7 linked regions of the Tribolium castaneum genome follow. The protein of the gene in region 5 purifies or fractionates together with the protein of the main gene of each other region. This does not show direct contact. Links are inferred from orthologs where the notes say so. Each region holds a gene or a part of one and is shown on either strand. Other genes may lie near its edges. The genes, in order: RnpS1, 116 kDa U5 small nuclear ribonucleoprotein component, Usp39, U4-U6-60K, Prp4k, Prp8 and Prp31.

The links.
Region 1: the proteins of Prp4k (region 5) and RnpS1 purify together in Homo sapiens (co-immunoprecipitation; 4 studies listed by BioGRID and IntAct, with this or other methods). This does not show direct contact. The link is inferred for Tribolium castaneum from reciprocal best matches to the Homo sapiens genes PRP4K and RNPS1.
Region 2: the proteins of Prp4k (region 5) and 116 kDa U5 small nuclear ribonucleoprotein component purify together in Homo sapiens (affinity purification with mass spectrometry; 3 studies listed by BioGRID and IntAct, with this or other methods). This does not show direct contact. The link is inferred for Tribolium castaneum from reciprocal best matches to the Homo sapiens genes PRP4K and EFTUD2.
Region 3: the proteins of Prp4k (region 5) and Usp39 purify together in Homo sapiens (affinity purification with mass spectrometry; 3 studies listed by BioGRID and IntAct, with this or other methods). This does not show direct contact. The link is inferred for Tribolium castaneum from reciprocal best matches to the Homo sapiens genes PRP4K and USP39.
Region 4: the proteins of Prp4k (region 5) and U4-U6-60K purify together in Homo sapiens (affinity purification with mass spectrometry; 3 studies listed by BioGRID and IntAct, with this or other methods). This does not show direct contact. The link is inferred for Tribolium castaneum from reciprocal best matches to the Homo sapiens genes PRP4K and PRPF4.
Region 6: the proteins of Prp4k (region 5) and Prp8 purify together in Homo sapiens (affinity purification with mass spectrometry; 4 studies listed by BioGRID and IntAct, with this or other methods). This does not show direct contact. The link is inferred for Tribolium castaneum from reciprocal best matches to the Homo sapiens genes PRP4K and PRPF8.
Region 7: the proteins of Prp4k (region 5) and Prp31 purify together in Homo sapiens (affinity purification with mass spectrometry; 3 studies listed by BioGRID and IntAct, with this or other methods). This does not show direct contact. The link is inferred for Tribolium castaneum from reciprocal best matches to the Homo sapiens genes PRP4K and PRPF31.

The regions. Positions count from the first base shown.
Region 1 is NC_087399.1:5,873,407-5,876,984, forward strand, and holds RnpS1 (RNA-binding protein with serine-rich domain 1), read left to right. Parts: upstream 1-1,533; 5' UTR 1,534-1,690; coding exon 1,691-1,692; intron 1,693-1,922; coding exon 1,923-2,036; intron 2,037-2,086; coding exon 2,087-2,906; 3' UTR 2,907-2,984; downstream 2,985-3,578. Other genes in the region: fl(2)d (pre-mRNA-splicing regulator female-lethal(2)D), read left to right, coding at 435-1,088; ankyrin-3, read left to right, coding at 3,127-3,177, 3,224-3,351, 3,402-3,578. UniProt on the Homo sapiens protein: Part of pre- and post-splicing multiprotein mRNP complexes. Auxiliary component of the splicing-dependent multiprotein exon junction complex (EJC) deposited at splice junction on mRNAs.
Region 2 is NC_087401.1:10,799,914-10,804,095, reverse strand, and holds the start of 116 kDa U5 small nuclear ribonucleoprotein component, read right to left. Parts: upstream 2,892-4,182; 5' UTR 2,545-2,891; coding exon 2,428-2,544; intron 2,381-2,427; coding exon 2,160-2,380; intron 2,110-2,159; coding exon 1,841-2,109; intron 1-1,840. UniProt on the Homo sapiens protein: Required for pre-mRNA splicing as component of the spliceosome, including pre-catalytic, catalytic and post-catalytic spliceosomal complexes. Component of the U5 snRNP and the U4/U6-U5 tri-snRNP complex, a building block of the spliceosome.
Region 3 is NC_087394.1:36,569,713-36,574,185, forward strand, and holds Usp39 (ubiquitin carboxyl-terminal hydrolase 39), read right to left. Parts: upstream 2,959-4,473; 5' UTR 2,815-2,958; coding exon 2,739-2,814; intron 2,692-2,738; coding exon 2,653-2,691; intron 2,602-2,652; coding exon 2,341-2,601; intron 2,031-2,340; exon of another isoform or gene 1,787-2,030; intron 1,326-1,786; coding exon 196-1,325; 3' UTR 166-195; downstream 1-165. Other genes in the region: facilitated trehalose transporter Tret1, read right to left, coding at 2,986-4,355.
Region 4 is NC_087397.1:1,345,368-1,349,520, forward strand, and holds the start of U4-U6-60K (U4/U6 small nuclear ribonucleoprotein Prp4), read left to right. Parts: upstream 1-1,252; 5' UTR 1,253-1,393; intron 1,394-1,453; 5' UTR 1,454-1,457; coding exon 1,458-1,626; intron 1,627-2,767; coding exon 2,768-3,305; intron 3,306-3,352; coding exon 3,353-3,751; intron 3,752-3,797; coding exon 3,798-4,153. Other genes in the region: zinc finger protein 131, read right to left, coding at 73-360. UniProt on the Homo sapiens protein: Plays a role in pre-mRNA splicing as component of the U4/U6-U5 tri-snRNP complex that is involved in spliceosome assembly, and as component of the precatalytic spliceosome (spliceosome B complex).
Region 5 is NC_087394.1:6,850,018-6,853,226, forward strand, and holds the end of Prp4k (serine/threonine-protein kinase PRP4 homolog), read right to left. Parts: coding exon 3,194-3,209; intron 1,026-3,193; coding exon 822-1,025; 3' UTR 632-821; downstream 1-631. Other genes in the region: ppl (glycine cleavage system H protein, mitochondrial), read right to left, coding at 147-165. UniProt on the Homo sapiens protein: Serine/threonine kinase involved in spliceosomal assembly as well as mitosis and signaling regulation. Connects chromatin mediated regulation of transcription and pre-mRNA splicing.
Region 6 is NC_087394.1:7,721,973-7,726,313, reverse strand, and holds the start of Prp8 (pre-mRNA-processing-splicing factor 8), read left to right. Parts: upstream 1-1,523; 5' UTR 1,524-1,682; intron 1,683-1,921; 5' UTR 1,922-1,922; coding exon 1,923-2,281; intron 2,282-4,341. UniProt on the Homo sapiens protein: Plays a role in pre-mRNA splicing as core component of precatalytic, catalytic and postcatalytic spliceosomal complexes, both of the predominant U2-type spliceosome and the minor U12-type spliceosome.
Region 7 is NC_087395.1:18,107,209-18,111,654, forward strand, and holds the start of Prp31 (U4/U6 small nuclear ribonucleoprotein Prp31), read left to right. Parts: upstream 1-1,585; 5' UTR 1,586-1,680; coding exon 1,681-2,017; intron 2,018-2,070; coding exon 2,071-2,894; intron 2,895-4,446. UniProt on the Homo sapiens protein: Involved in pre-mRNA splicing as component of the spliceosome. Required for the assembly of the U4/U5/U6 tri-snRNP complex, one of the building blocks of the spliceosome.

The sequences.
Region 1 (3,578 bases), on a different chromosome or scaffold from region 5:
TTTTAATGTTCTGATATGAGCGTTACATTGCCAATCCGTAAATAACTTTCAGCAGCTGTGATGTAATTTATTGTAAATATGTATTGAATTAGCTTATTGTCATTCTAAATTTACCGCTTTGTAGATTAAATCAGATTATATGAAATTTTTATCTAATTTTTTAATAAGCACAAACCTGAACTAATCTACGAAGCGAATTTTGTCATGAATCATTTTTCAATTTTTCATAAAATTGTGCGTTTGTACTAGTTTTAATAAAATCACCAGAAACGTTATGTTGAATAAAATGGTTAACATTACTTGTATATTTTATTAACGAAATGTCGGGGACGTAGACACCTTGTTATTGTAAGACCGCTGTGTAAACCCACTCCGAAAAATGGGCGCCCTTGCGATATTTTTTGTGTCAATATTAAAGAGTATTTTTGCTGCAGTGCCAATTGAACGAGCTGAAAAGTGCCCAAGCCCCCTCGGCCCTCCGTTCAACCCTGCTCGATCCTGCCGTGAACTGCATCCTTCAGCAGCTAAAAACCGAGCTCCAATCGACCCGTTCCGAGCTTGAGGACACCAAGAACGAGCTAACGGCGTGGAAATTCACCCCCGACTCGAACACGGGCAAACGCCTGATGGCGAAATGCCGCCTCCTGTACCAGGAGAACGAGGAACTCGGCAAAATCACGAGCTCGGGCCGCATCGCGAAGCTCGAGAGCGACCTGGCGCTGCAGAAGAGCTTCTCCGAGGAGGTCAGACAGAGCCAGAACGAGCTGGACGCGTTCCTGGCCGACCTGGACGAGGACGTCGAGGGCATGCAGAGCACGATCCTGTTCCTCCAGACGGAGCTGCGCAAGACGAAAGAGAGCGCCCAAGTGCTGCAGAAGGAGAACAGTACGCTCAAGCTGGCCAATGGGCGGTCGAACGGTGACAGTGTGTGTGAACAGGAACGGACGGACTCGGACTCCGAGGCGGAGAGGACTACTTGTGTGAAACGCGTGCGAAGGTCGTCCGTCCTCAGTATCGACTATAACGAGGACGACGCCCTCGTCATCAGCACGAACGGTGACGTCGCGATGGCCTCCGACCCAGAATAGTGAGCTGAGATTAACCCAACTATTACGCATATAAACTGACGAACAGTATATTCAATTGTACATAGAAATATACTAGCCTAATGTGGTTGTTTCGAATTGTGACTTCAATCATTACTAAATTGTGTTGATCACTGCGGTGCAGTTGCAGAATTTTTTCTATTAGTTTTGGCAACAATGCAATATTTTATTACTTTCCCCCATTCAAGGTGTTATCAAGGTGCGCTTTTTTATCCATTGTTCGCATTTTATTCATTCGACCGACTCTGTTTTAAATTTGTCAGATTGTATCATTTTTTAACGTTTTTATGTTGAAAGTTGTATTTATAAAATAAAACAAAAATTATATCACTTATTATTGACCACGGTGTTTTACTTGTAGCTGCGGGGGTGCAAAATTCAATCTCCCACCGTTGGTGTAGCAGTTACAAACTTAAAGTCACCAGAACAGCGCTACCAACATCAAGTGGTCGTAGTAGCGTCGTTTTGCTAATTTTCCACAATTACACAGTTTTTCATGTAGTTTTCATACTTCCGCGTTAATACAGTGAAAGGTTTTAGTTCTAAACTTGTCCCGACTTTACAGGAATCAAGAATAGTCAGAAATGTGAGTATTTACGTTTTGAGGTTATGTTTGTAGTCCGGGAGGGCTTTCCACGATTTCCTTGTAGTTTTAGCACATTTTAACTCCCATGCATCACTTGTGTTTGCTCGATTTGCTTCCTTCAAGGTTCTTCAAGATCAAGATAATTTGTATTACAACAACTGACTTGTTTGTTCACTCCCGGACACCATTACTTTTTACAAATTTTTTGAGTTGGTTTTTATTGTTCTTAGGGCAAAAATAGGTTCTGATACGGAAAAGGACGACAAGGATAAGAAGAAAGAACGTGGTAGGGACCGTAAACGGAAGAGTGAGTCTGGTTCAAGCAGCAGCGATAGCAGCAGAAGGTAACACCCGAGTTTGAAGAGTTTGTAATCACCTAAAACACTTGATTTAGTTCTTCCGACAGTAGCTCGTCCAGCTCGCGCTCTTCGAGCAGTTCCAGTTCGGGCAGCAGTTCCCGCTCGAGCAGTTCCTCCTCGGAGTCCTCAAGCTCAAGCAGCGATAAAGACCGCAGTCGCCCCAAACGCCGTTCGCGCTCCACCAGCAAACCCACCCGACGCAGCAAAGAGCGCAAAGACAAAGACAAGGAAAAGGAGAAGGAAAAAGATGTCAAAAAGGACGATAAAGACGAGGTCAAAGACAAAGACGTCAACAATCGCAAATCCCCAGCGAAAGACGACAAAAACCACACCCGTGGCAAGTCTCGTTCGCGCTCGCGCTCAGACCGGCGCAAAAGGCGTCGCAGGTCCCCCACGCCACGCCCCACGAAAATCCACATTGGGCGTTTAACACGCACCATCAACAGGGAGCACATTATGGAGATTTTCGGGACGTATGGACCAATCAAACATGTGGATTTCCCCAAAGACCACATCCACCCACACTTGGGGCGGGGCTTCTGCTACGTGGAGTTCACCAATGCGGACGATGCCGAAAACGCGATGAAACACATGGATGGGGGGCAAATTGATGGACAGGAGATCACGGCGGCTCCGGTGCTTGTACCCAAGCCGAGACCGCCCCCCATGAGGCGCAGCCCCATGCCGATGCATATGAGGAGGCCTCCGCCCCACAGACGCACCCCGCCCAGATTCCGGAGGCGGAGCCCCATGCGACCGATGAGGAGGAGCCCGCCGAGGAGGCGCCCCCATTCCAGGAGCCCCCCGCCCAGGCGCAGGAAGCACAGCCGCTCCAGTTCGAGCAGTTCCAGATGATTTTTTCGATTTTAATTTTTTAAGGTATTGTAATGCGTGAAAAGGAATAAAACCGGAATTAAGGTATTGATAATCAAAGATTGATAAATGATAAAATTATTATTTTGTCATATTGGTATTACCACGTATTGCCTATCACATAACCTAGCTTTCTTCAAATAATTGTTACAAATGAAATTGATGGAAAATTGATGAAGATGACTCGTAAATCGTTTAAGTGATGTCTGTCTCACATAATTGTGATGAAAACCGCCGAAATCTCTTATCTGAAGTAATAATTTATTTTGACATAACCTCAAATTTAGCCTTTGCTCCAGGTTGAATCAGCAATATCTAACAATGACCTTGCCACCCTCAAGCAGCTTTTACCGCACCCTTTTGACCAAACCACCCTTCAGGACGAAAACGGCAACAACCCTCTGCACTTATCCATAATTTACGAAAAGTATGATCCCCCCTAACGTTCAGTAAATCCCTACCAAGTCCTGGTTTCAGGAACGCAATTTTTGACTACTTGCTTGATAAATTCGACTTGGAGGCGCAAAACCACTCCGGACACACAGCCCTATCCCTGTCCCTGCTCTACCACAGCGACATTTTCATAATCGAGTACTTTGCCCTGGAACTGATCCGCAAGGGGGCCAACATTGAGGTAGTTTTTAGCGATAATAA
Region 2 (4,182 bases), on a different chromosome or scaffold from region 5:
GTTTACTGGTTACTGCTCTAAAAATGTAAGAACTAATTACCCTGTTGGTTAAAAAAACAACCATTTTAATACCTCAAAAAAGCATAAATAATTTGTATGGATCTAATTTAGTGTTTTATCATTATTATAAAAGAATTGTTTTTATATAAGTACTCAAACAATCAATCACACAATTTTTTTGACAAATTTTCCTGAAATAATGTTGAGAAACGTGCTATAACTTCCGAAAACGCAAAAAATTTTTCAACACAGTCTTAGTGATTTTCGAATCAAACTTGGCTAAATAATTGCGTTTCTGGATTAAAAAGCTAGAAATACGCAAAAAATACCTTGATTTTTGATACAAATTAATTATTTTTCATGTTTATTTTTGAGATATTTCACACAATAATAACATTTTGAACAATAAAAGATGCTAAAGCACCAGAAGACAGTAAAACTAATGTTATATTCGACCTGATTTCACGAAATTTTGAACAGAAATTATTAATTTTCAATAGGTCAAGTTTAGTGATTTGTTTATTTAAAGTTACACGCTCAAAAAATGCAAAATATAAGCTATTATTTTAACTTATTTTGTGTTTTCTTGGTGGGATTTAGCAAATTAACACCTTGATGATGAAAATTTTGATCTGGTTTTAACAAAAGGTGTTCTAACCCAAACACACGTAAGTGGTCAAGAAAAACTTTTTAAATTTGTAAATGTGCTTATCTATATACTGACCCCACCTGACTGATTTTTTTGAGAAATTATTACATTTTTGGGCCAAAAACGCGCACACACTTTTTTAAAAGGTAAAAAAAAACTCTATTACTTCTAAATTTTGAACAACGTATTATTTCTGGCTGAAAAACTTGCCAAAACAATTTTATTTTCGGCCCAATTTTTGGGTTTATTGCGCTATAAATTTAGGAGACAATTGCTTTGCTGGTTGAAAACTAGTTTACTCGTTGCTAAAACAATCTAAAAGAAGCGTAAATATTTTTGTTGTGTGTTTTTCATAAAATCTTAGAAAAATGTAAATACTAATAAGAACACATCTATAATTTACATAAAAACCGGCAATAAAAAGAAAGTCTTTACAGTGTAAAATAGTAAAGTTTTGTCAAAATGCACTTAAACGCTCAAAAAGTTAATTTTTTTATTTCATTTGCTACTTCTTTTTTAACGAAATACCTTTGAGAAACGTGCTGCAAAAAAAAATTTGATTTTTCAACACAGTTTTAGCAAAAAATGTTTTACTTATTTAACAACTTAGTGAAATAATCTCGTTGGATTAAAATCGTCCTAATACTCGCAAAAATACCAAAAATTGTGTATTTTTCGACCCAATTTAGTCATTTTCTATTCTAGTTCTAGGGAAATCTCGTAAGAAGATTGAGTTTTTAGCACAAAAACGCGCTTAAACCCCAAAAAACTGCTGTATTTTACGTATTTTTTTGTAATTTTTGAGAAAACCTTATGAAATAAATAGCGTTTCTAGCTTTAAAAAATGCCCTAAAATTCTCGAATCAGGCAAAAGTTACATCTTTTTGACTTTATTTAGTGATTTCTCAAACTACTCGAATCGAAATCTCGGAGAAACACTAAATTTTTACTCAAAAAAATATGAAATCAAAATATAGTTGTTTTTCTGTCTGAAAAAATAATCTAAAATGTTACAAAAAAGGCAAAACAGCATTATTTTCAACCACTTTTCATGATTTGCTGGTCGTCACTTCAGAAGTGTGCGTTTGAGAAATGCAAAAATCGCCACACTTTTTACGTAATCTGGTGATTTGTCGACGAATTTTTGCCGAAACATCGCGTCTAAAGGAGGATTAATTATTGAGTTATTACCAGGAGTGTCAAAAATGTTCATTAGGTAACTCTTGTTCTTAACGTCCTGCAAAAGTAGCGTAATTGGGATCGACTTGATCGAGCAGCCCCTTTCCTGCTCCGTGAACAAAGTGTCGGTATATCTCAAATTTTTCTCTTCATAGTCCTGATACCCTGGATGCGTTTGCCGAATCAAACAATCAACAAACGTGGTTTTACCATGATGTAAGTGCCCAATCAAGGCCACGTTACGTATCAGCGACGTATTGTCCATCATATCGGCCAAAAACCTACCAAAAAGTGAAATTATTTTTACCCCTACTTTCACCCAAATAATTACTCCATATTGTACGTCGTATCGGGCAAATCCTGCTCCTTCAACTGAAACTTCTTTTTCTTCACCGGTTCGATCAAAGGCACGTCAAGGGGCTGCGCGTCCTCCTCTTGCACAATAGTCTCCACATCAGGCCCATAGACTTGTAAAGCAGACGGGTAGTATTGCTTGTCCTCGTGCAAGACAATGGCCATGGGTTGGGGCTCACTCTCGTCCATTTGCTCGTCCTGAAAGGGGACAATAAGGGGGCTTCTGGGGACCTCGAGACACTCACATCGTAGTCTTGCTGCTCCTCGTCTTCCTGGGGCTCGGGCTCCTCGTCCTCGTCGTCATCGCTGTCCAGCTCAGGCCCGATGTAATTACCGAACTCGTCGTACAAATCCGCGTCCATGTTCTGGCTTTTGGGGCCCTAAACACGACTCGACATAACCCCAAAAAACAGCAAAAACGGTAAAATCCACACGACCGGAGCACAAAAAACGATGATTCGAGTGGTTTTTGGGACAAATTTGCCACTTTTTGCACGATTTTTGTGAAAAAACGTTGCAAAACGTTAACAAACGAGTCACAGGTTAGGTTGTTGTTGCCGGGAGTTACCAACCATGCGGCCACAAAAAATAAACTCCCTGGACTCACTACATAATTCAAGCCAATTTTATTAATTAATTGAAACAATCACAACCAAATTGTTAGTCGCGACGTTTGGTTTAATTGATAACAGTATCACATCAATTAATTGACAGGAATTATTACCAAGTTGGTCAACCGTTCCGCTAGATGGCGCCCAATCGGCAAATATTGATTTTGGGCCTAAAAATAGACAAATGGAGCAAGGGGGCCTCTTATCTATTTATAAGCCGCTTTGCTTCAGTTTACAGAACAAGACGTTCGTTATTGTTCGTTTTATGGCCAATCGTTTGTCTTTTGTTCACCTTGTCGGGGTCCATGGCCTGCTTAGACGTGACGTAATTGTCACTAGTTTTTCCATTTACCGGCAATGGCGGGGTCAAGTTCACCCGAGGCCAACTACCGTCTTATTGTTACCATAACAACACTATCAAATTCAAGGTTGTAATAATAATAGTATGAGGACTGAGGAGGTATGGAAAAAGCAACAAAACCTCCTAAACCGTTACTGACGCCCCTTTTGTCACCATTGGTCGGGGTTCCCCCCGTTTGAGAGTTACCACGGCGTGATTGGTCGCGCTTAGCGTGGGGGCGTGGCCGGTGTCACACCGTTCGGCCCGGCTTGGCTCCGATTGGCCGCGCCTGAAATAGGCAGGTCGGTGACTTTTAAACAAACTAACCTATTTTTTTAAGGGCAAATTAAGGGCCGTGTCGGGAAATTAACATCAGAGGCGGCTTTGGCACAAAAAGGACGTTTTATTTGTGGTAAAATTTCTGTTTTTAGGAGGCGTTTTAATTGTTTAATATTGTTGTTAATTGACTGTCGTTTGTTAGTCGCGGCCGCCTTGATCGGGTCGCAAATTGTGGTGGTTGTGCCCGATTGTGGCGTTTTTTTCCCAGTTTTGTGCGATGTGGCAACGCCGCACAAGCACTTTCGACAATTCCCGGCTAAAATCGAGTTTATGTGATTATGTGTGAATCATTGAAGTTGGCCGTGATGCCACGTCACAGTTGGCGTCTCTCTCGCACTCGTGTGACGTTTGTGACGATTTCGAGGTCTATATATAGCACAATGTGGAACTAAACTGTTTAATATTTATGTAGAATATTTTAAGCAGACGATGTGATGGTGTTTTGTTTTGTTCGACGGTCAAGTAGGTCGTGGACGCGAGTTGCAATCATTACGAAATGTCACAATGTAATCAAGTTGGCAGGAGATAAAGTCGATTGTTATTTGTTGATTTGATTGTTTTATTGGGGGCACTCCCACTCCCCCCACTTGTTTTAATTGGGTGCCGAGGCTGGGAGAGTGAGATGAAGTGTTGGTGGCGTTTAGGTCATCTTTTTTTAATCGTGTCGGAGATTAGAGCGGAGATTAGAGGGTGAAGTGAGATAAGAAGAC
Region 3 (4,473 bases), about 30 Mb from region 5:
AAAGCATTCATCTTTTAAATATAACTAATCTGTATGTTCAAGAACTAAAGATTTGACTGATTTCTCAAAAGCTTTTTGACCAAATCAGGCCAAAAACAAACCGCTCTCTGGACTAAACGTTTCATTACAGAAAAAAATCAGGGAGGGACAAATAAAAGACAAAAATTCCGGTGATAGAATTTTATTCGTAAAAAATTACTTTTCTAATCTTAGCTCATAAATTTGTATATAAGCCTCCGTCAGCGTAATCATCTGCGGCAAAATATCCGTCACATGCAAGTCCTGCATCTCGTACCACTTGCCCGTTGATTTTTGCAAAATATGAACCCTGTAAGTGCCTTTCCCCGGCTCTCCATCATGCACAATATTCGCCACTAGATCATAGACCGTATGTTTATGTTTGGCCTTAACTTCGGGCGTCAAAAACTCGCCAAAATCAACATTCCTAACCGGAAAATTCACAATGGTTGGATTCTTCTCCACGTAGAACGTGTTCTTCGTAAACCTCTTAATATACAAGATTAAATAAGGCGGCAAACGCGTAATCTCAAACTTCTTGAGGAAATTCTCCTTGTAAGTCTTGTACTCCTTCTCGGTCTGTCCGTTGAACTTGGTGAGGAGCTGGTACAAGTTCACCTGGGGGATGATATTCTCCCGGAACTCGTCGATGAAGAGAGGCGGTGGAGGCAAGTCGCAGGTGAGGTACAAGAAGGGTGACTCGGTGATGATCTCCTGGTACTCTGGAGTTGACAAAAGCATGCGTTTCTGTCTGTCGTCAAGCTCGGTCGGTGGTATTTTCCTGGTGTAAATTTTCATGTTTCCGAGGAATGACTGGTAAATGATGGAACTGTTTTTCTTTTTATTGCCGTTAAGTGCCCGATGAAGTGCGTTCAAAAACCACGAAAGGAAATCAATGGGGTCGCCTTGTGCCGTAATTTGGAAGCGCTTTTTGCTCCACAAAACCACAGCTTGGAGCATTTCGTGCGGCGAAACGTGGGCTTTGAAATTTCGGGGGTTCCATAATTTACGCATCAGTTCACCGTAACGTTGCACCAGGAGGTAAGAGGAGTCACCTGGGGGGCGTTTTATCTTGCTGTAGTTCTCCTCACGGAGGAAGTAATTACGTAAAGGGACAACACGTGAAAGGGCTTGTAAAACAACATTACAGTAATCGTTCGCTTTTATGTTGTTTAAACCGACGATTCCTGGCATGTAAAGTAGGCCATCAATTGCTCGGGACATTTTTGTGCTAACGTCCAATGTACTGATGTGTTGTTCGGTAAATGTGGGGTTGAGCAGGTATTTAATGTCGTCGAGGGACGAATCTGTGAGTAATTTAATTTTGTTAGAAAAAAATCGTTGGAGCTTGAAATTAAGTGGCAACACTGATTACTGAAACCGAATACTTCCCCGAACATTTCCTAGTATTTGCTTTTTTCAATTCAGAAATTGACAACACGATTATCGAAAATAGACAAAAAACACAAAAATTAACCGAAAAACCACCAAACGGATTCAATAATTACATAATGTTTGTCTTTTCCGAAGATCCCAACTTGTTATTTCAGGCAGAAATGCCAAACAAGCCGCAAAATTACCAAATCAGGCCACAAATTATCTCATTTTTCCTTTTTTTTTAAGCCATTATGCATGTTTTTGAGCTAAACAGGCATTTATTTTACAAAATTCGTGAATTATGACATTGTAAAAACGTATAAATCCTAATCTTTGTAAAAAGTCTCCCAATTGAAGACTTCGCGCGAATTTCAAATCACGCGCGCTCAAGTGTCATTTTCAAATCAGCCAATGAGGTGCCGTTGGCGTGACATCAGCGTTAGAGTGAAGCTTGTCTGCCGAAGTGCGCGTCCTTTTGCTTTTGCGTGTTGAAAAACCGGTGTTTTGTGCGTGTTAAGTGGCAAAAACGACTCAAATCGACTTTTTATCGGAAATGTGACGTGTGTAGACTATCAAAGTGTGTTAGCAGCAAGCTGGAAGCCGGTTTTGAAAAAATTCAGTTAGACGACGCTAAGGTTAGTCATTTTTGTATTTTTTCCACGATTACTCGGTTTAATTCGAGTTAGTTTCGGTTGAAAACGCATACAAAACGATATTCAATAAAATGCCAATCGGAAAAATGCGACAAAACGAAGATTTCACTTTATTTTTGAAGGGGGGCGTTACTGGCATTGCGCCCTCTCAAACATTCGCGTTATTGAAACGATTTAATCTAATTCGGTGTAAAACTTCAGCTCGAATCAAGTGAGTTGGGTAAAATTGTTGAAATTTGAAGAAAAATGTTGCCAACTTAATTTCAAAACTACAATTGAGAGTATTTATTACCTATTATTTCATAATTGTCGGGCAAGCAGTAAAACTTCAAGGTGTGCAAGTTGAGGAAAACGTGGTGGCCTTCGGCCACCGAATGCGTATAAGCATGTGTGTTTGTGCCTCTACCTTGGAAATATTTTCCGCAAACAAGACAGGCATAAACGTTGATGCGAGTCAACGACACTGAGCACAATTTTTCGAAATCAAAGTCGAGATATTGCCGGTTGATTGTGTCCAAATAGGGGCACAGTCGATGCGTTTGGGGCTTCCCACCTGGAATAGACAATAATAGAACAGGGCGCTTTAATCGATTGATTTTTGTACCTTTCCGGTCCGAATTGTCAGAAGGGGGCTCAATTTCGGCTAAAATTGAACGTTTCAGTTGCGTTTTCGAGGTTATGTGTACTTACGTTGTGAGGAGTTTGATTTGGCTTGGGGCTCCTCGAACTTGGGCTTTTTCATGGCAGGTTCATCGTCCGCTTCCATCGTATTCACGCTTTTTTAATTAATTTTTGATTAAATCACGCTAGGACTGTTTTTGTGTGGTGTTTGCAACTTTAAGGTTATATTTACTGTCAACGGTGTCAATAATAATGTCAATCTGGTTATGCAATAAAATTCGAAATTGTAAAAAAATAAGTACTTTATTCAATAAAATTACGCTTTGAGACTAACTTTCTCTTCTTCGGCGCCTCGTTCATCACAAACTTCGACTTCCCCTCTCAGTTTTTTCTGGATGTCTTCGAGGGTTTTTCCTTTCGTTTCAGGCACAAAGAAATAAATAAAAACTAGTCCAAGTAGCGAACAAATCCCGAAACCGTAAAACGAGACATGTAGTCCGTATTCTACTTTAGTTATTTGTAAGTACTTGGAGGCCACTGTGGCCATCACACTGAAGTAAACATCGGCCAAACAAAGCGCAAAAGCTTTCACATTTGTGGGAAACAACTCCCCTAACATACAAATCGGGATTGACTGCATCCCTAAACTGAAAATTATCACAAAAGCTAGAAGCCCCACAACGGCCACGATCGAAAATGAGCTCGTATCAATGTCCGTTTCGTTCAAAAGATAAAAATAGGTCCCTTCGACAAAAAGGGCTAACGCCGACCCCGCCATTGAGATGATCAACAGTGGTCTTCGACCGGCCTTATCCACAATACTCGAGGAGAACATTGTGAGGAGCAACTGGATGGAGTAGTAAATCATCACAGCGTAATGTGCGGAAATGTGGTCCCCAGCAGTTTGGAAAATCTCATGGGTGTAGAAGGCAATAGCCGTGGTCCCCGCCAATTGCTGGAAGCCCCGGAGCCCCCCGATGATGAAAACGGCCTTCCGGTTGCTCTTCACCCGGAACAAGTCGACGAATTTCCCATTGTGCGACTTTTCCTCAGCCTGGATTGCGTTCCGGATTCGGTTCAAATCCCCGGAGACATTTTCGCGTTTTTTGAGGCGTTCTAGTGATTTCCGGGCCTCGTCCGCCCTCCCACGCATTAACAAATAGTACGGACTTTCCGGCATCCACAAGAATGTAATAAATAGGATTGCCGGCACAATTGAGGACACAAGTGCCGTGGTTTTAATACTAAGGTACGACCCTATCACATTTATGATGAGAAAACCGGCGATCCAGGTCACGGAGCAGCTGGAGCCGAGCATCCCTCGCACCTGGGGGTCGGCGATCTCGCCGATGTACATGGGGACGACGGTGAAGGTGACGCCGTCGGCGATGCCGGCGATTAAACGCGCGATGTAGAGGAGGACGATGCTGGGGGCGAAAGCCACCATTATCCAGGAGAGGAAGAAGGGGACGGCGGTGGCAAGGATGGTGCGTTTGCGGCCCAGGATGTCGACGATGGTGGCGGCGGTGAGCGAGCCGATGACCGCCCCCACCAGGGGCATGACGGCCAGGTTGGAGCCCTGGTTTTCGTCAATGCACAAGGTGCAAGTCTCGTTGTTTTTGAGCTGGGGGAGGCTGGGGGACGACCAGCCGTAGATCATGCCGTCGGTGACGATGGCCAAAGTGCCTGCGAGGAAGCGAAAGTGAGTTTCTCGATTTTGTAAGGATTGGATTCAGGTCGTTAAGTTTTTAGGGGTTTCTGGTTCAGGTAGAAGCGAAGGTTCAACCAGATGTTCTTTTGTTGA
Region 4 (4,153 bases), on a different chromosome or scaffold from region 5:
TGCGGGCCAAGTGGAGTTTCTCATGGGGTCATGAAAAATTGAAGGGTTTTGCTTTTTTTAAAGGGGGCTTACGTGGTCGACGTTGATCTCTCCTTTGTACATGAACTCGACCAAGCACTTAATATCTACATATTTGACATCTTTCATGATGAGGATGGGGTCTTTTTCTTCGTACTGGGACAGGATGGTTTCGAAGTAGGTGCTGCAGGCGGAGAGGACGATCTTGTGGGCCTTGATGGTGCGCCCCTCGCAGGCCAAGGTGACGTCGCAGAAGGCCTCCTTCTCGAGGAGCTGCGAGAACATGGTCTGCAAGTTCGAATGGTGGTACCTCCATCTTAGACAATACTGTTGAGGCAGCATTTTTGGTTATGTTCGTCCAGCTTCCTTCCGACTGTTCGCGTTGGAGATGACGAATTTACCAAAAAGTAATGAGTCACCAGCGTGAGACCTTCGAAATAATCAATACTCGTCGGTTTTGGGGCCTTTGGGCGAGCGTTTGTTTTTTAAATCACCACCACTTCACTGGCACGGCACAACGCATCCGCAAGTCGACTGTTTTTGCGAGGTTTAACAATACAAAGTCCGGCCGAGGATTTCTCAAAAATTTGGAGACGCGTATGTAAATGTTCAGTCATTTGGAAAATTCCGACAAAAAATGTGTCCCTTAGTTTTTTATGAGTCAGTGAGCCAATAGAAACCACGTAAGACCCCTATAAACCATGTATAGTCCGTATATTCGCCGGGCCAAGCCTTTAAGGCAAATCAATACCGCACGTCTTAAAAAATTCTCGCGTAAAAAATCTTGGGAATTGTCGAGGTTTTTCGTCACACACAAATATTTGTCGAGAGCAACGGCTTTTCAGCCTAACTAACGGCACCAAACTCGACTAACGCAGATCCAAAACGGGGTCAAAAATTAAACCGACACAGACTCGGACTGTACTGTAATTAGGCCTTTCATATTTATTTTTATAAACTTGAGATTTTTCAGAGCCTGGGAAAGAAAGAGAAAATCTATCAACTGTTCAAGTTCAACGATCGGTCGTCGCGCCGATTTCGCACAAATTCACCGATTCTTTCACGATTTTCGCACACAAAACACCAGCACGGACATTGCACGGCTATTTAGGCGGTTTCCGCGGCACAACATCGTACATTTACTAAGATTTCCGGACCGAACTTGATAATCTCTCTCTCTCATGGAATTTTTTGGAAAAAAATTTAGACAGAGATAGCAAAACGCTATGTAAAGAAAACAGAAATATTTCTTTTGTGGAAGAAATCGTAAAAACTTGCCGTTGGCTACACTGAACTCACCAGGCGGTTTTGGTTACTTTTTTTGCGACAAATGTCAACTTGACGTTACGTTTTGAACCGATAGCAGTGATAACATGTAAACAAACGTTTTTTACGAATTAACTTGCACAAATACTCATTTTTGCTCAATTTTTAGCACCATGTCCGACGATGAGGACGCGCCTTACGTGAAAAAAACCAAAAATATTCACTACGGCTCGTTGGAGGAAGCGGAAAGAGCTAGGTTAGCAGCCGGCGATGGGAACGATGATAGCAATGAAAAGGCCGAAAGCACGTCGGCGAACCCGCCACAGGTTCACATTTCCACAGGTATTACTTTGGCATCCGTAATTTCGTCCAAATGCCAAAACCTCGCACACAAATGAGCTAAAGCTCAAGTCAACATCAGTTTAATGTAGCGCTAAAATATTCACGAAAAATCTAGTACAAGTGGTACATTATATATTTCTTATTCCTTAATGGAGCCTCGTGGCTCAAAACCCAGGTTCTGTTTTTTGTAATTTCTGTAAAACCAAATTTTGAGTCATGGAATCAAAGTTTTTTATTAGAATACTTAAAATCTTATTATTTATTTATTTATACAGGGTGAGTCAGTCATGAGTTAGTTCTGAAATCTGATGCAACCAGTAAAACTAATTCCACCTGTCCAGTTGTATTCCATTTTTTGAGTATATTGTTAACTTTATCTTAACAGTTTTGCCACTGATTTTGCTAAAACTCCTTTATGAACTACTATTTTTTCAAAAATAAAAAACCGAGTAATTTACCCTGGTATCTTTATTACATGAGAGTATTAAGAGTAAAATTTATCGTTGTAACTGATCGTTTAAATGAATTTCATCGTAATTTATCTCAAAAAAAGCTGGTAAGCAGAAGGTTAAAGTCTCAACATTGTAGCCAATATTTTCTCCAAATTCTTGTGATAAATTTTTTGCCAGTCGACATTTAGTGACATTTGAAGCGCTCAAGAGTGGCTTATTAACGGCCCAGTCAATAACTAGGTTCACATATTGACTCGAGTTGCTTTGTCATGCGAAATAATATGATTACAGATTTTTAAAAAAATATAAAACCTGAGTGATTCAGGAAAAAATCAGGTTTAATACAGCGATTAACTTGCACTTTGGCTTTGAAACTGACAGCCGCGGTGTTATTAAATCAAATGCTTTATTGCGCTATTAAATAAATAATTCGTATTAGAACTCCTTTAATGCCATAAATGCACAATAATATTAAATTGAAAAAAGTTGTGCCATAGGCCCCAGCTTTATATAATTTTTGCTTTTTAAAAAGAACAGTTTGTAGGTGTACCTACGAATGGTAAATAAAAAAAATGTTTATATAACAGCAATTATCACACAATTATTAAAAATGCGTGCTTAGGTGCCTGTTTTTATGTTAAAATCTTTCACTTGAATCTAATAAATACTGTTACGTTTAATTTATTCAGAATACATGGAGCTTGAGGACGCCATGTCCCGCGACAAGCAAGCCCTCTTGGAGGAATTCGAGCGTCGTCGTAAAGCGCGCTCTATTAACGTCTCCACCGATGACGCCGAAGTGAAACGAAACCTTCGCCAATTGGGAGAACCGATCTGTCTATTCGGGGAAGGACCGGCAGATCGGCGTTCACGCCTCCGTGAAATACTAAGTCGTATCGGTGAAGACGCAGTCATTCGACGCGAAGCCGAAGAAGAACGTAAAAATTTCGAAAAAGATCTCGAAACAACGTGGTATCATGAAGGCCCCGAAAGTTTGCGAATAGCCAGATTATGGATAGCGCACTATTCACTGCCGCGGGCCAAAGCCCGGCTTGAGGAAGCCAGAAAAGCGAAGGATTTATCAACGGCTACTAGAACAGCCAAGAAGCAGGAAATACAGAAAAAACTCCAGATTATGTCGATTTATTCGAGTCAGATTGGCGATTCGAGACCTATTGCCTATTGCCAGTTTAGTCCAGATTCGAAACTTTTAGCCACAGCTGGATGGTAATTATCATTTAATAAGTGAAATGAAATTATTTGTTTGATTCAAGGAGCGGGTTGTGTAAAGTGTGGTCAGTGCCCGACTGCACACTCAAACAGACCCTGAAAGGTCACGCCTGTAATGCCAGTGCTATTATTTTCCACCCTAGAGCAACAATCAGCCAGGAGGAAAATATTTGCAATATGGCATCGTGTGCAGCCGATGGTTCAGTAAAATTGTGGGATTTTCAAAGCGAGGAACCGATCGCTGATATCGAGGGCCATATGCCACATCGTGTCTCCCGGTTGGGCTTTCATCCCTCTGGAAGGTTTCTCGGGACTTGTTGCTTTGACTGTTCCTGGAGATTGTGGGATTTGCAGCAATGCACCGAAGTTTTACACCAGGAAGGACACGTCAAACCTGTCTATTGTATTTCCTTCCAGATTGATGGATCGGTCTGTGCCACAGGGTAAATACTTTTGGTAAATTGTGACAAATAATTAATTTCCCAACAGTGGTTTAGACTCATTTGGACGTGTGTGGGACTTGAGGACCGGAAGATGCATCATGTTCATGGAGAGTCACTTAAAGGCGGTTCTAGGGATAGATTTTTCCCCTGATGGCTACCACATTGCCACGTCTAGCGAAGACAACACTTGCAAAATTTGGGATTTGCGCAAACGTTCCGTCTTGTACACAATCCCAGCTCATACGAATTTAATTTCGGAGGTGAAGTTTCAAAGGGACGGCGGCGATTACCTAATTACTTCATCGTACGATAACACGGCGAAATTGTGGACAAATCGGACCTGGCAACCGTTGAAGACCCTGTCAGGTCACGACGGTAAAATCATGTCAGTTGACATCTCCC
Region 5 (3,209 bases):
CATATTCGTGAAGATTAGTTTATTTTCCTCAACGCGTATATGAAATTATCAAGGAAAATATGGTAACTGATTTAAAAATCAATAAAATCCAGGTCACGATTTCTTTTGTACTTAATAATTTTGCCGTCGGAATTTTTCGTACTTACCTGTCACAACTGCTTCCATTTAACCGATGCTCTATTTTTCTAACCAATACAATTTTAACTATAACTTAAGAAAAATATGTTAGTCAAAAAATCGTAAGTTGATTGGATCTTAACCTTAACCTTTAAGGCGATTCTGGCAAACCGTTAAACCCTTCTCTGGATTTCACTTCCAATTTCTTAAGCCCATTCAGCTGAAAATGAAAAGAAAATTTACCACAAAGTTTGGGTTTCGCAGTTTTATTTTAAAGAAATATTCAGCAATTTGTTCACCCCTGTTTAAGCAAAGTCATTGCGAAAACAAAGGTCAAGTCAGTAAAATACATTCTGATTTTGATGAAAAAATTACAAATCAAAATGTATTTTTTGAAAAAATTGTGAGCACAATTTTTATAACAGTCGCAGGCCAAATACCTTATCGAACTTTACACCAAGACCTCCTATCCAAACACTCATTTCGCCACACTTCTGTAACAAAAATGACAAACTTTTATCAATATTTTATTACTTTATAAATACTCCACAATATGAATTTTCGTGTACAACATTGTTAATCTACAGTTTGTTTTAATAAAATATAAGTCTAGTACAAGACTTTTAAAGAATTCAAAGAAAAATAATAACAAACAAAAAAATTAAAATTACTCGCGGTGTCCGGTTACCTCACTAGACCAACCCTCAAATCTTGTCCTGAATAAACGGATGTGTTAACGCATTATTCAAGCTGATCCTTTTGGCAGGATCTATAGTCAATGCCTTCTCTAACATATCCTTCAGTTGGGTCACTTTTCGCAGCTGGTCCGGGGGCAAAGCCTGACCTGCCACCAGCTCGGATTGGAGGTCGCGAGTCACTTTAACAACGGACATCACCACCACTTTTTCCTGAAAAAAATACGACACGTCTATCAATCGGCGATTAAAAATTGTTATACTTAAAATTAAAAAAAGTAATCAAAATAGTGCAATAAAATTTAAGTTTTAATAATTATATGACAACTGTTAAGAAAATATGATGTTGCCATCAAACTTATAATCCAACTAATAATATCTTAAATTTTAAACTTCGTAAAACACTTTGTGAAACAAAGTTTAAAAATTTTGGGTTTATTATCTAATTATCATTACATAATGAAATGCAAAAATTACAAAACAATAGTTGCCATTTATTTTTGGCTTAAAAAAAACATGATCATCTATCAGAAAAAAATAAAGAATTTGGTTGGTTGAAAATTGATAAACTATTCGAATGTTATTTGTCTCACTAAATTTCATTCTAGAAAAAGCCTAAACACCGGGAAAACCAACTTTAGAAGTACATTTTTTTTTCAAAATGATTATACAGTCGCTGATAATTGAAATGAAATAATTAATATTAAAGGGGAGAATCTTCCGCGCTAAACTAATTTCTTATTTATATAAATCATTGGAAATGCTAATTTGTTTATTTCTACTACAGGGCCAAAGGTATTTTATTTTCTTTTTAACACTCATTGCTGATGGAAAATAATGTTAAAAAACACCTTTTTCAGTTTTCAAGTAGGTACTGATCGCATTTAAAGACTCTCCTACTACCCGAGTAGAAGAATGTATTCTGTAAATAACTTTCAAAAATGTTACTTAAATTTAAAACGACTCTAAATCGCCACTTTTTTTCAGGTTTCGGTTTTTTTTCTGAATTAAATAAACCACTGACCGTATTTAATTTTTTTTATACAGTTCGCGTAGAATAATGTAAGCTAAATTGCTAAAATTCCACGCCTTTTAGCGTACTTTCTAATGACATTCTAAAACAAACGATATTTTTATCTTGTTTTGTGCAGAAATTCAGTAAAGAAAGTTGTTGGTAGCTATAAAAAAATATAATAAATTAAGTTTATCCATTGTATAACTCATTTGAACTCATATAAAACGAGCTGACATTTAATCGTAATAGAATTCGAGGTTTGCATGTAGGAATTAATTAATTAATTGCTGATTAACTGACAAGCTACAAAACCTTTTTAAGCAACATTTTGCTTCTTAAGACTACAGAAAAACTATGAAACAATTCACATGCATAAATAAAAACAAAATATTTAATAGAAAACGCTAGTTTCTGTGTAGTTAGTATTAGTTTCAGTAATTTTTAAAGACATATTTATTTCTCAAAAGTAAGTGGTCACAGTTAAGAAATACGAAATAAATAAATAAAATAAAAAATAAGAATTTTTTATCCATAATTTGTTTGAATTAGTTGATTTGTGAAAAATCTTTTTTTAATTCTATTTTTAATTTTTTTGCTGTTTTTGCCAATTGTTATTAGTTATATTAATTATCCAATTTCTTTTTCATTTGACATTTTTTAATAACTAACATAATTATAATTTTGGGGAGGTAAAGTGGAATAAGTGTAAGTTACATTGCCCCTCCTCATTGTGGTATTGTTTTCTATGTTTAAGATTGTCCTTTATTCTTTCTTTTTTTTTGTTGTGTTACATTCCTTTTTTTTTATTAATATACAATGTTCGGCAAAAGTTCAATCAAGAGTTTTTTGCCAAAACAAAAAGACAATTTTGTCATTTTTGAAAAGATTTTTCCAGGGTTCCAAGCAACACTTTATTCACAAATACTTTAAAAAATTATTTGTACATCAGTACATAAGAGCTAATGATATTAAATCAAATCCTGGTATTATATTTTGCTTTTGTCTCAGAAAAACGTGTCCCAACTTTTTTTTCGAAGAAATCCCTAACAAAATTTAAGATAATGTCGATTTTGAAACGTTTTTGTTGTATTTTTAACTTTTTATGTACAAATAAACTGAAGGGTTATTGGTATTTTATCAAATTACAAGGTGTCAGCTACAGAGCGATACAGTTTACTAAAAGATACAAAATCGGTACAACTTATATTATATTATTTTTCATGCTTATTTTCTTTAAAAATTAGTAATATCTCCAACTTTTACTTATGATTTTAACATATTTTAATAAGGGAAATCTTTTTTTAATAATATTACTTAATAAAAGCCATTTATTGTTTTATTATTAAGGTTATTTTATTTTGCTTACCCGTTCAGTAACTCGA
Region 6 (4,341 bases), about 870 kb from region 5:
GCGAGTTGGTTTGTTTGTCAAGTAGCTAAAGAATTGGATATTTTGTGTTACGAGAAAGTAGTATGATTTTAATATTAGCCAGAGAATGCTTTAAAAAATTTATAAACTATCTAATTGTTTTATCATTTAAGTAAATTAGTCAAGATTCCTGGCTAGTTTGTTGCTTGTAAACGAGCCGCTATTTTAGTTGAAACTGAGGTTTGCCTAGTTTACAAACTAGGTAAGTTTACACATTAGGCGTAATATGTCTACAGCTTCAAAATTTTGACAATGTTTTTGGGTGACAATGAAACTCTTCTAGTTTATAACCCCACCGAAAATTGTTTTCACTATTTTCAAACACGTTTTTTATAGCAACGTGTTGTAAATTAAAATGTTTCAACAAAAAAAAATTAAAAGTTTTCGGGTATCTAGGTATGTAACTCGCATACGCTCGTTGCATAACAACAGTTCTCGAATTTTAAGTTTGTGTTTTTGCACTCGTATTATATTAATAAATATAATAATTTGTTAATCATGTTAATAACGAATGACAAAGACACCGTAAAAAAGATTGAATCAAAACTTTTGAAAAATTAAAAATGACACAGATTGTTTTATTTTTGCACTGATTACTGTCAGTTTCTCTTATTGTAGCCAGCAGTAATCGGCTAACATACTATTTTTATCCCAAAAACTTTGGTAAACTTTTTTTCATAAGACTTTAAATCTCGACGAAAACGTTTACCATTTGATCGCTTAAGTTTCCTGGGTTTTATTAGGATTATTTAAAAAAAAAAAAAAACAAAAGTTGTTTGGACTTAGTCTACAATAACTTGACGAAAATTTAAAGCAAATAAAATGTTTCACAATTAGTTTATCTCACAAACAACGAATGCTAAACTTGACAACTTGACCGATTTATAAAGCGTTATTAACTTAATTCGTAATTAAATGCGTGATTAACTGATCACGTGACCAAAGTGAAGCAATTTGGTTGGTCCATTTGCGTTGTTAACTTTTAACAACGCAATTAACTTTAATTGAGCTTTCTGTAAACCGGCTCTTAGTGAGTATATTAAAAAACTAGACGTGATAGACAAACGTGAGATATCTTTTAGTTATCAGTGAGTATGCAGAAAACAAAACCAGTATAAATTATCTCTTGATAAAATAAAAATAATTGTAAACTAGTGTAATTCTTTTATTCTTCTTGTTTTAATTACTAGTAATTATCATTGTTTATCTTATTTTTACTTCAAGAATGCTTTAAACGGAATAAGTGGTTCAGGCGTAAACTTATGTTTAAACACCTTGTATTTAATATTTGTACCACGATTTTTTTTACAAGGCAGAATTTAAAAATGTGCAAACGTAAGCTAATATGCGAAGGCAAAAACACTTTGCTTTCGCTAGACGCTAATTATTTATCTACATCAGTGGTCCTCGTATAAGCATTATAGGCCACCAACAAAACACGATTGCTTAGAATTTAAAGTTGACAACCACTGCTCTGTTTTAGTGGATTTAGTGTTCTTTGTAATTGTGAGATTGGTATTGATAATCGTAAATATGGCGCTTGCAGGTGATGTGTGCGAATGAGAAAATGAACGCCGCATCAAAACGTAAAGTGAACGTTTTAGATGCATTTAAGCACTAAAACAGTAAAATTATCAATTTTGTTCAAGTTTTAAAAGGACAAGGTGAGTTTAAACCAATTTAAGTTAGATAATTCACTTATTTCGTTATTTGTGTACAGAAGCGGTTAGTACAAAAAGTGCGTTTCCTTTCCTTGTAAAAACTACCGTAACAACGTTCCACCTAAAAACGATTACAATTTAACTTCGTTTTTACGAATTGTTACCATTTACATTACTAAAATCACCGCAACTTATTATCCTGTATTAACACATGGTTATGCTTGGTTTTATATTACTTTCAGAATGTCGCTGCCCCCGTATCTTTTGGGGCCGAACCCATGGGCCACCATGATGGCCCAGCAGCACCTGGCTGCAGCCCATGCCCAGGCCCAGGCCGCTGCAGCTCAGGCCCATGCTCATGCTTTACAACAACAAATACCGCCCCCACATCCAAAGTCGGATGTGATGACTGAAGAAAAACTCCAGGAAAAAGCCCAAAAGTGGCATCAACTTCAGTCGAAACGATTTGCCGATAAACGAAAACTTGGCTTCGTTGATGCCCAGAAGGAGGATATGCCGCCTGAGCACATTCGGAAGATTATTAGGGATCATGGGGACATGAGCAGTCGTAAATATCGACACGATAAACGCGTTTATTTGGGGTAAAATTTCACTTTTTTTGTCAACGTATTCAAATATTAAACGTATTAAATATCTGCTTGAATGTTTGCTTCAGTGATAGCTTGTTGATCACTGATAACAACGTTGTTTTTGTGCAAATTGAATGTTAATTAATTCTTTTCCGGTTTTCGGAAAACGGTAAAAACACTTTTTTGTATTATATTTTGATCAATTATGAAATTAAAATTTTGGGGCTTATTTCGAAAATTTTTTATCAAAAATTTTGATTCTTAAAATCATTTCTCAAGTTTAAAAAGTAAATGTGGAGGGTTAATTCATTTTCAAAACTGTTGCTATTTGGAAGGACGACTGTACAAAGAAAATGAAAATATTTTAAGAATGCAAGCTGCTAATAATGAGGTAGTAAAGTTTAGAAAAAGCGGGCGATAAATAAATCTTTTTATGATGAAATTATTGATTTAAGGCGAGATTTGCTTATACTGTATCATAAAATGTTTGGTTAGTATATAGAATAGATAAATATTTAGTAAAGCTCGTAAAAACTTTGAAAGAAATGTAGATTTGGAACAAGTAAAATTTGAAATATGTTTACTGACATTTTTAGGGAAAAACAGTAAACGCTCAAAACATAATATGAATAATTGCAATATTATTGGGAAACACAAAATTATTTTCATCTAAGATCGTATCGAATAAGATGCGGATTATCTGCTTTCAGCAAACACATTTGCAAATTAGAGAAATAAAGACAGAATATTTAATAAATTTACAAAACAAAAACGAGAGCAAAATTTGGAATTTACAAAAAAAATTAGCAAATGACAAACACATTTATAGTGGTTCAGATTGATTTAAACATTACAGTGATTTTTTTAAAACGAGCCAAATTTTGAGAAGAAATTTTTTGTTGAAAGGGCATACATTGTAGTGTACTTATTTGAAATACAAAGTACTCTAAATATTCTAAATAGCGTGGTCCTAAAGATATGTTCATTGATTGTCATTTCTCTCTATGCAGTATCCAAAGCGTTTTTTAAGCTCTTGCCGTCTAATTTTGCTTTTAGAAATTTTTCTAATTTTATTGGTAATTTCTTGTTTTAAATTATCTAACTTTTTTGGTAGTGTTTTAAAGATTATAAAGTGAATTGAAGATCCATCATTAATGTGCAAGGTATATTTGAAAGAGTTAACGAAAAATGTCTACTTGCACGTCCAAGTTGGATTTTCATTAACCCTTTTAAAGATTATGTTTTAAGATTGTCAAATCTTACATTAAATGACAAAACTATCTTAAAAAAAATTGGTTAATTCAGGAAATAAGAAAAAAATACGAAGCCTGAAAATGGACAATTTTCATTGATAGAGGGACATTTTTTCTCGCTTTTTGTAAATTTGTAGCACTTATAAATCCCTTTGTAATATAGATCATTTTTGAAAATTTTAAATAGTACCACTCTCTTGTAAAACCTACAAATGAACAGTTAACTGCATAAACTGTTTAAAAATGTTTGGGATATTGGTGTTTTAATATACACTGCTCCACAACAGTTATAAAGTTCTAATTATTTTTACATTAAACAAATTCTATCAATTTTCGGGCATTAGAAGCTAATAATAACAAATCAGAAAATAAAGTATTTGCTTTTAATTTCATTCTTGTTATCAGTTGAATTTTTCTAAAATTCAGTATTATTCTTAACTTTTTTCAGTCAAGTTTATTGGAATGAATTTACAAATTCAGTTCTAGTTCTCTATGCAAGATAGTAGTTCTGAAAATTAAATTAAAAAAAAACCTGAAAAAATTCTTAGTAATGCCACCAAACATGCACTAGATTTTTAAATGCCTCTTCTATTTTCTAAGATATTTATGAAAAAATCACTGTATTTATTTAAAGTTTTTTTTTTTAAACGTGACTTTTTTACAACTTATTTCATTTCTATAATATTACGTTATCGCTGACTTCTGACTTTTTTTGTATTGTGAACTACTCAGGCTTTTTCTACCATTTTTCTTCGTAAATTTTCTATAATATGAATTGAAACTACAACTAAAAACTCCGTAAAACTTAAAACAATTAAG
Region 7 (4,446 bases), on a different chromosome or scaffold from region 5:
TGGTATTGGTATTTTGTTCATTTACTCAGGGCCGCCACGAGAAGTGCTATTTTATTTGTTATCTGTTCATAAAAGGTATATATTAGCTATTTCAAAATTATAAAAACGCCAACGTCGCATTTTCTCTCAAAATTATAACTAATGTAATTTATACTTTCAATGAGAGATCGAATCGTTAATAACTATTTTACATTTCTATACTTATTCAAATTAAGAAGTAATAGAGATTTGTGGTGATTGTGATTAACTGATTACTGACTAGGTTCAATAAATAAAGGAACAAATATTTATTTATTAGAAGAATTTTAAGTTTGACATAAAATGTATGTATTAAAATGACATAATAAACATTTTCGTATATCCCAAAACCTGAAGAGTTTTTTAAAAAACTGTACTTTTTTAACCCAAATTTACAAATTGTGTAACTATACTGTAACTTTATATTCAAACAAATTAATACTGTGTGATTTTCTAAAATATTGGTCTAGTTATCCGTGACAGTTACGTTAACCCGATCTCCATTACGGAAATAAGATTCCAACATATTTTTTTTGGTTCTTCGGTGAACATTTTAGACATATTGACAAATAAAGCGATGCTAAAGTTATTTATGCAAAATGTTTCATTGATGACGTATCTGTCATGGATAACTAGATCAGAATTTTAAAAAGTCGGTTGGTAGTTTATTATAATAAGATAACAGATAAATTGCTTCGATTTGAAGCATTGAACTATCGTAGATGCCAAATAATTTTTAATTTTAAAAATGATCGCTTCCCTGTTGAATAGAAAACGGGTAATGAATAGGAATTAAATTATTTATTAAAAGATTTTCTAATATATTTTGTGGGTTTTTGCAATTATTTTCTAAAAAATGAATCTTAAAGCGTTAATTCCGTTAAATAAATCGGAAACCATTTTTAAGCTTTACGTGTAAGTCTTTACAATTTTTTGCTGTCTAAATCTTCTTAAAAAATTGAAGTTATTCACAAATACAAATGCATCGTTTTTAAAAAGAAGACACAACTTGATCCAAAATTTAATAAGAAAGTAAATTTTTTAAATATTTCTGTCATCTACCACAACTTCGTTAAGATGAATATAAGGTGTTCGTTTGTAGTCAAAAAGTTTTATTTCTTTTCTTCGGCATACAGTTTTATTCAATCCGGTTTTATTAAAATTAGTTGGTGCTTTGGCGTCCTCTGACTCCTTTTTATTTTTATTTGTATGCTTTTTTCCATTTATTTTTGTTTATTTTTAAAAACAACTATCTTAATATTCTAATTTAAAATGGTATTTAAAAGAGCTTTTGGCGAAGCAAGTTTGCTCTTATGTTCTTATAGTTATAGTTTTTACCAAAAAGTTGACTAAAATAAAAAAAAAGTTTTTTTTATTTAAATAACATGGCTTGAAACTACAATAACAACTGTTTTTTTAGTGATATATGTGTCCGGAAAAGTACTCTTTCACGGACTATATTCCGTCCCTTCACTAATTAATAATTATATTGTTTTTTTTCATTATCCCCAAATTAATAAGCAGATTATTATAGACAACCAGTAATTCAGCCCCACATTACAAGTAATCTATGGACACTTGTCAATTTGTAAACTGCATTTTTCTAACCTCACTTCCAAGTGTTGTGTGAACGTTTTGGAGTTACGTTTTTAACTCGCTAAAATGTCTTTGGCCGACGAATTATTGGCTGATTTGGAAGAAAACGATCAAGATGATTTGGAAGAAGCGATGGAAGTTGATGAAAAACCGGACATCAAAGAAGAAAAACCCGACGTTAAAGACATCCAGTTAGAGGTAGACACAACTCAAATAACTTCAGTCCGAGAGTTGTGTAAATTACGGGACTCGCCCCATTTACATGAAATATTGAAACAAATCGAAGACCATGTGAAGAAGAGCCGAAAATACCACGACATCATAGGACCAGTTGAGTTGGACCCTGAGTATCAACTGATCGTCGAAGCTAACAACATTGCTGCAGATATAGACGCGGAAATTGGTAAGAGTTACGATTTTAACCAAATCAGTTGAAACTAATCTGTTTTATTGAAGCCACTGTCCATAAATTTGTGCGCGACAAGTACCAGAAGCGGTTCCCCGAGTTGGACTCCCTTGTTGTTGGTCCTTTGGAGTACTTGAAGACCGTCAAAGAGCTCGGGAATGACTTAGACCAAGCCAAAAATAATGAAATTTTGCAACAATTCCTAACGCAGGCAACTATCATGGTTGTCTCAGTCACGGCATCCACGACACAGGGGATTCTCCTAACGGACGTCGAAAAGAAACAAATCGACGAAGCTTGCGACATGGCCATAGACTTGAACAACTTCAAACTGAAAATTTACGAATACGTTGAGAGTCGGATGGCTTTCATCGCCCCCAACTTGTCGGCGATTCTTGGGGCTTCGATCGCCGCCAAGCTCATGGGGGTTGCCGGGGGTTTGACCCGATTGTCCAAAATTCCGGCCTGTAACGTGCAATTGTTGGGCCAACAGAAGAAGGCATTGTCTGGATTTTCACAAGTGAATATGTTGCCGCACACTGGTTTCGTTTATTACGCAGATATCGTGCAAAATACTCCGCCTGATTTGAGAAGGAAGGCTGCCAGACTTGTTGCCACTAAATGCACGCTAGCAGCACGTGTGGACTCGTGTCATGAGAGTAAAGACGGACGTATTGGGCGGCAATTACGCGACGAAATTGAACGAAAACTGGACAAGTTGTTGGAACCACCCCCAGTTAAGTTTATCAAGCCGCTGCCGAAACCTATCGACCAGTCCAAGAAGAAAAGGGGCGGGAAAAGAGTCCGCAAAATGAAAGAGAGATATGCGATGACTGAGTTCAGGAAACATGCCAATAGAATGAACTTCGCTGATGTAAGTTTGGTTTTTCTTGTATTAAATTTTTCTAGTATTGAAAATATTTCTTACATTGAAAATTACACAATATTGTTAGCCAATCTACTGTTGAAGCAGCATTATAGTTTCATTAGATTTTGATAACATACTAGAGATCACAATCTTCTTTGCAAAAAGTTTTCTATGGGTTTGATGAAAATGCAGTTTTATTATTCTCTTGATACTTACAAGACCGGTATCAATAAGTTGTAACGAATAAGCGAAACACATAACTTCAGGTGTACCCCAGTGCTCAGTTTTGGGCCCAATCCTTTTTTTAATTGGGGTGTTCGATGTTTTAACGAAATAACTCCAGTTTTAGTCTTTTTGAGAAAAATATAGAAACGTATGCTATAAAATTTTCTCTTTCAAATGCAATAACTGGTTTTGTAATCGATTGATTTATTTTAATGTCATTAAACAGTAACAGTTGTTATAACACCGAAAATTTGTGGACATTTATTCAGTGCAATAATGAGATAAGTCCATCAATCGTTTTTTTACTAGTCTAGTGATTATTGTTAAATATAATGTATTAAAGCTTCCGTATTATAACTTATGTCAAAATAAGTTTAAAAAAAATAGAGACAAAAATGCAGTAGTAACATTGAATTGAGTTAAATTTTCACGGGTTTTTAAAAACCAAACGGCTTTCAATTTGAAAAAAAAGCGGTTTCGTCTGTAATTCTGTACTGCATTCCTCCTCTTCGCGTTTTATACTAATTTTTATTTATTTATTTTTCAAACAAAATCGATTACCATGATACTGAATGGAATCAAATAAACAATGATCTAAAAAGAATAGCCAAACATTGCAGTAATGTTAACTTAAAACTCAATGAAAATAAATATTCAGTCTTATACTTTGCATCTAAAAGTTGTAAATATTTTGAAGAATAATATATTAATATTTATATTATTAGTAATAAATTAAACGTTCTTGCAAAAAGAAAATCTCTAGGACTTACATTGACAGTGGAAAACACATTATTCATTATCAAAAAATGGTTCATCTCCTTGAAACTCTTACGTTCTAATTATCACATTCAGATTTCAAATTGAGAAATAAACTTATTGAAACTTTGGTAATTCTCCTTTATCTATTATTGCTTTATAATCTTATCCTTGTTTAAATGATGTTGATAGTTGAAAATAGATTATACAAAATTCAAAATATAATGTTATATATACAAAATTCAAAATATAATGTTATATTTTGAATTTTGTATCTTTGGCTTAAAAAAAATGTGATTACATTTCTAAGGTCGAGTTGTATCATCTTTAGTCCTGATTTAAATCCCTAACAATTATTCTCATAACAATGGCTATGGGTTTAATCCTGAAATTTTTTATACAACTCGACCTAAGTGTGTTTCTGACTTAATGTTGGAACTTCGGGATAAGATACTTGAGACTTCTAATAAAAGTATATTTAATATGAAAGTAAATCGAAATACAAAATGACGGAATTGATAAAAATATACACGGCACACTCTTATAAACAAAACTGTGGTTCACACGGAAACGAAAC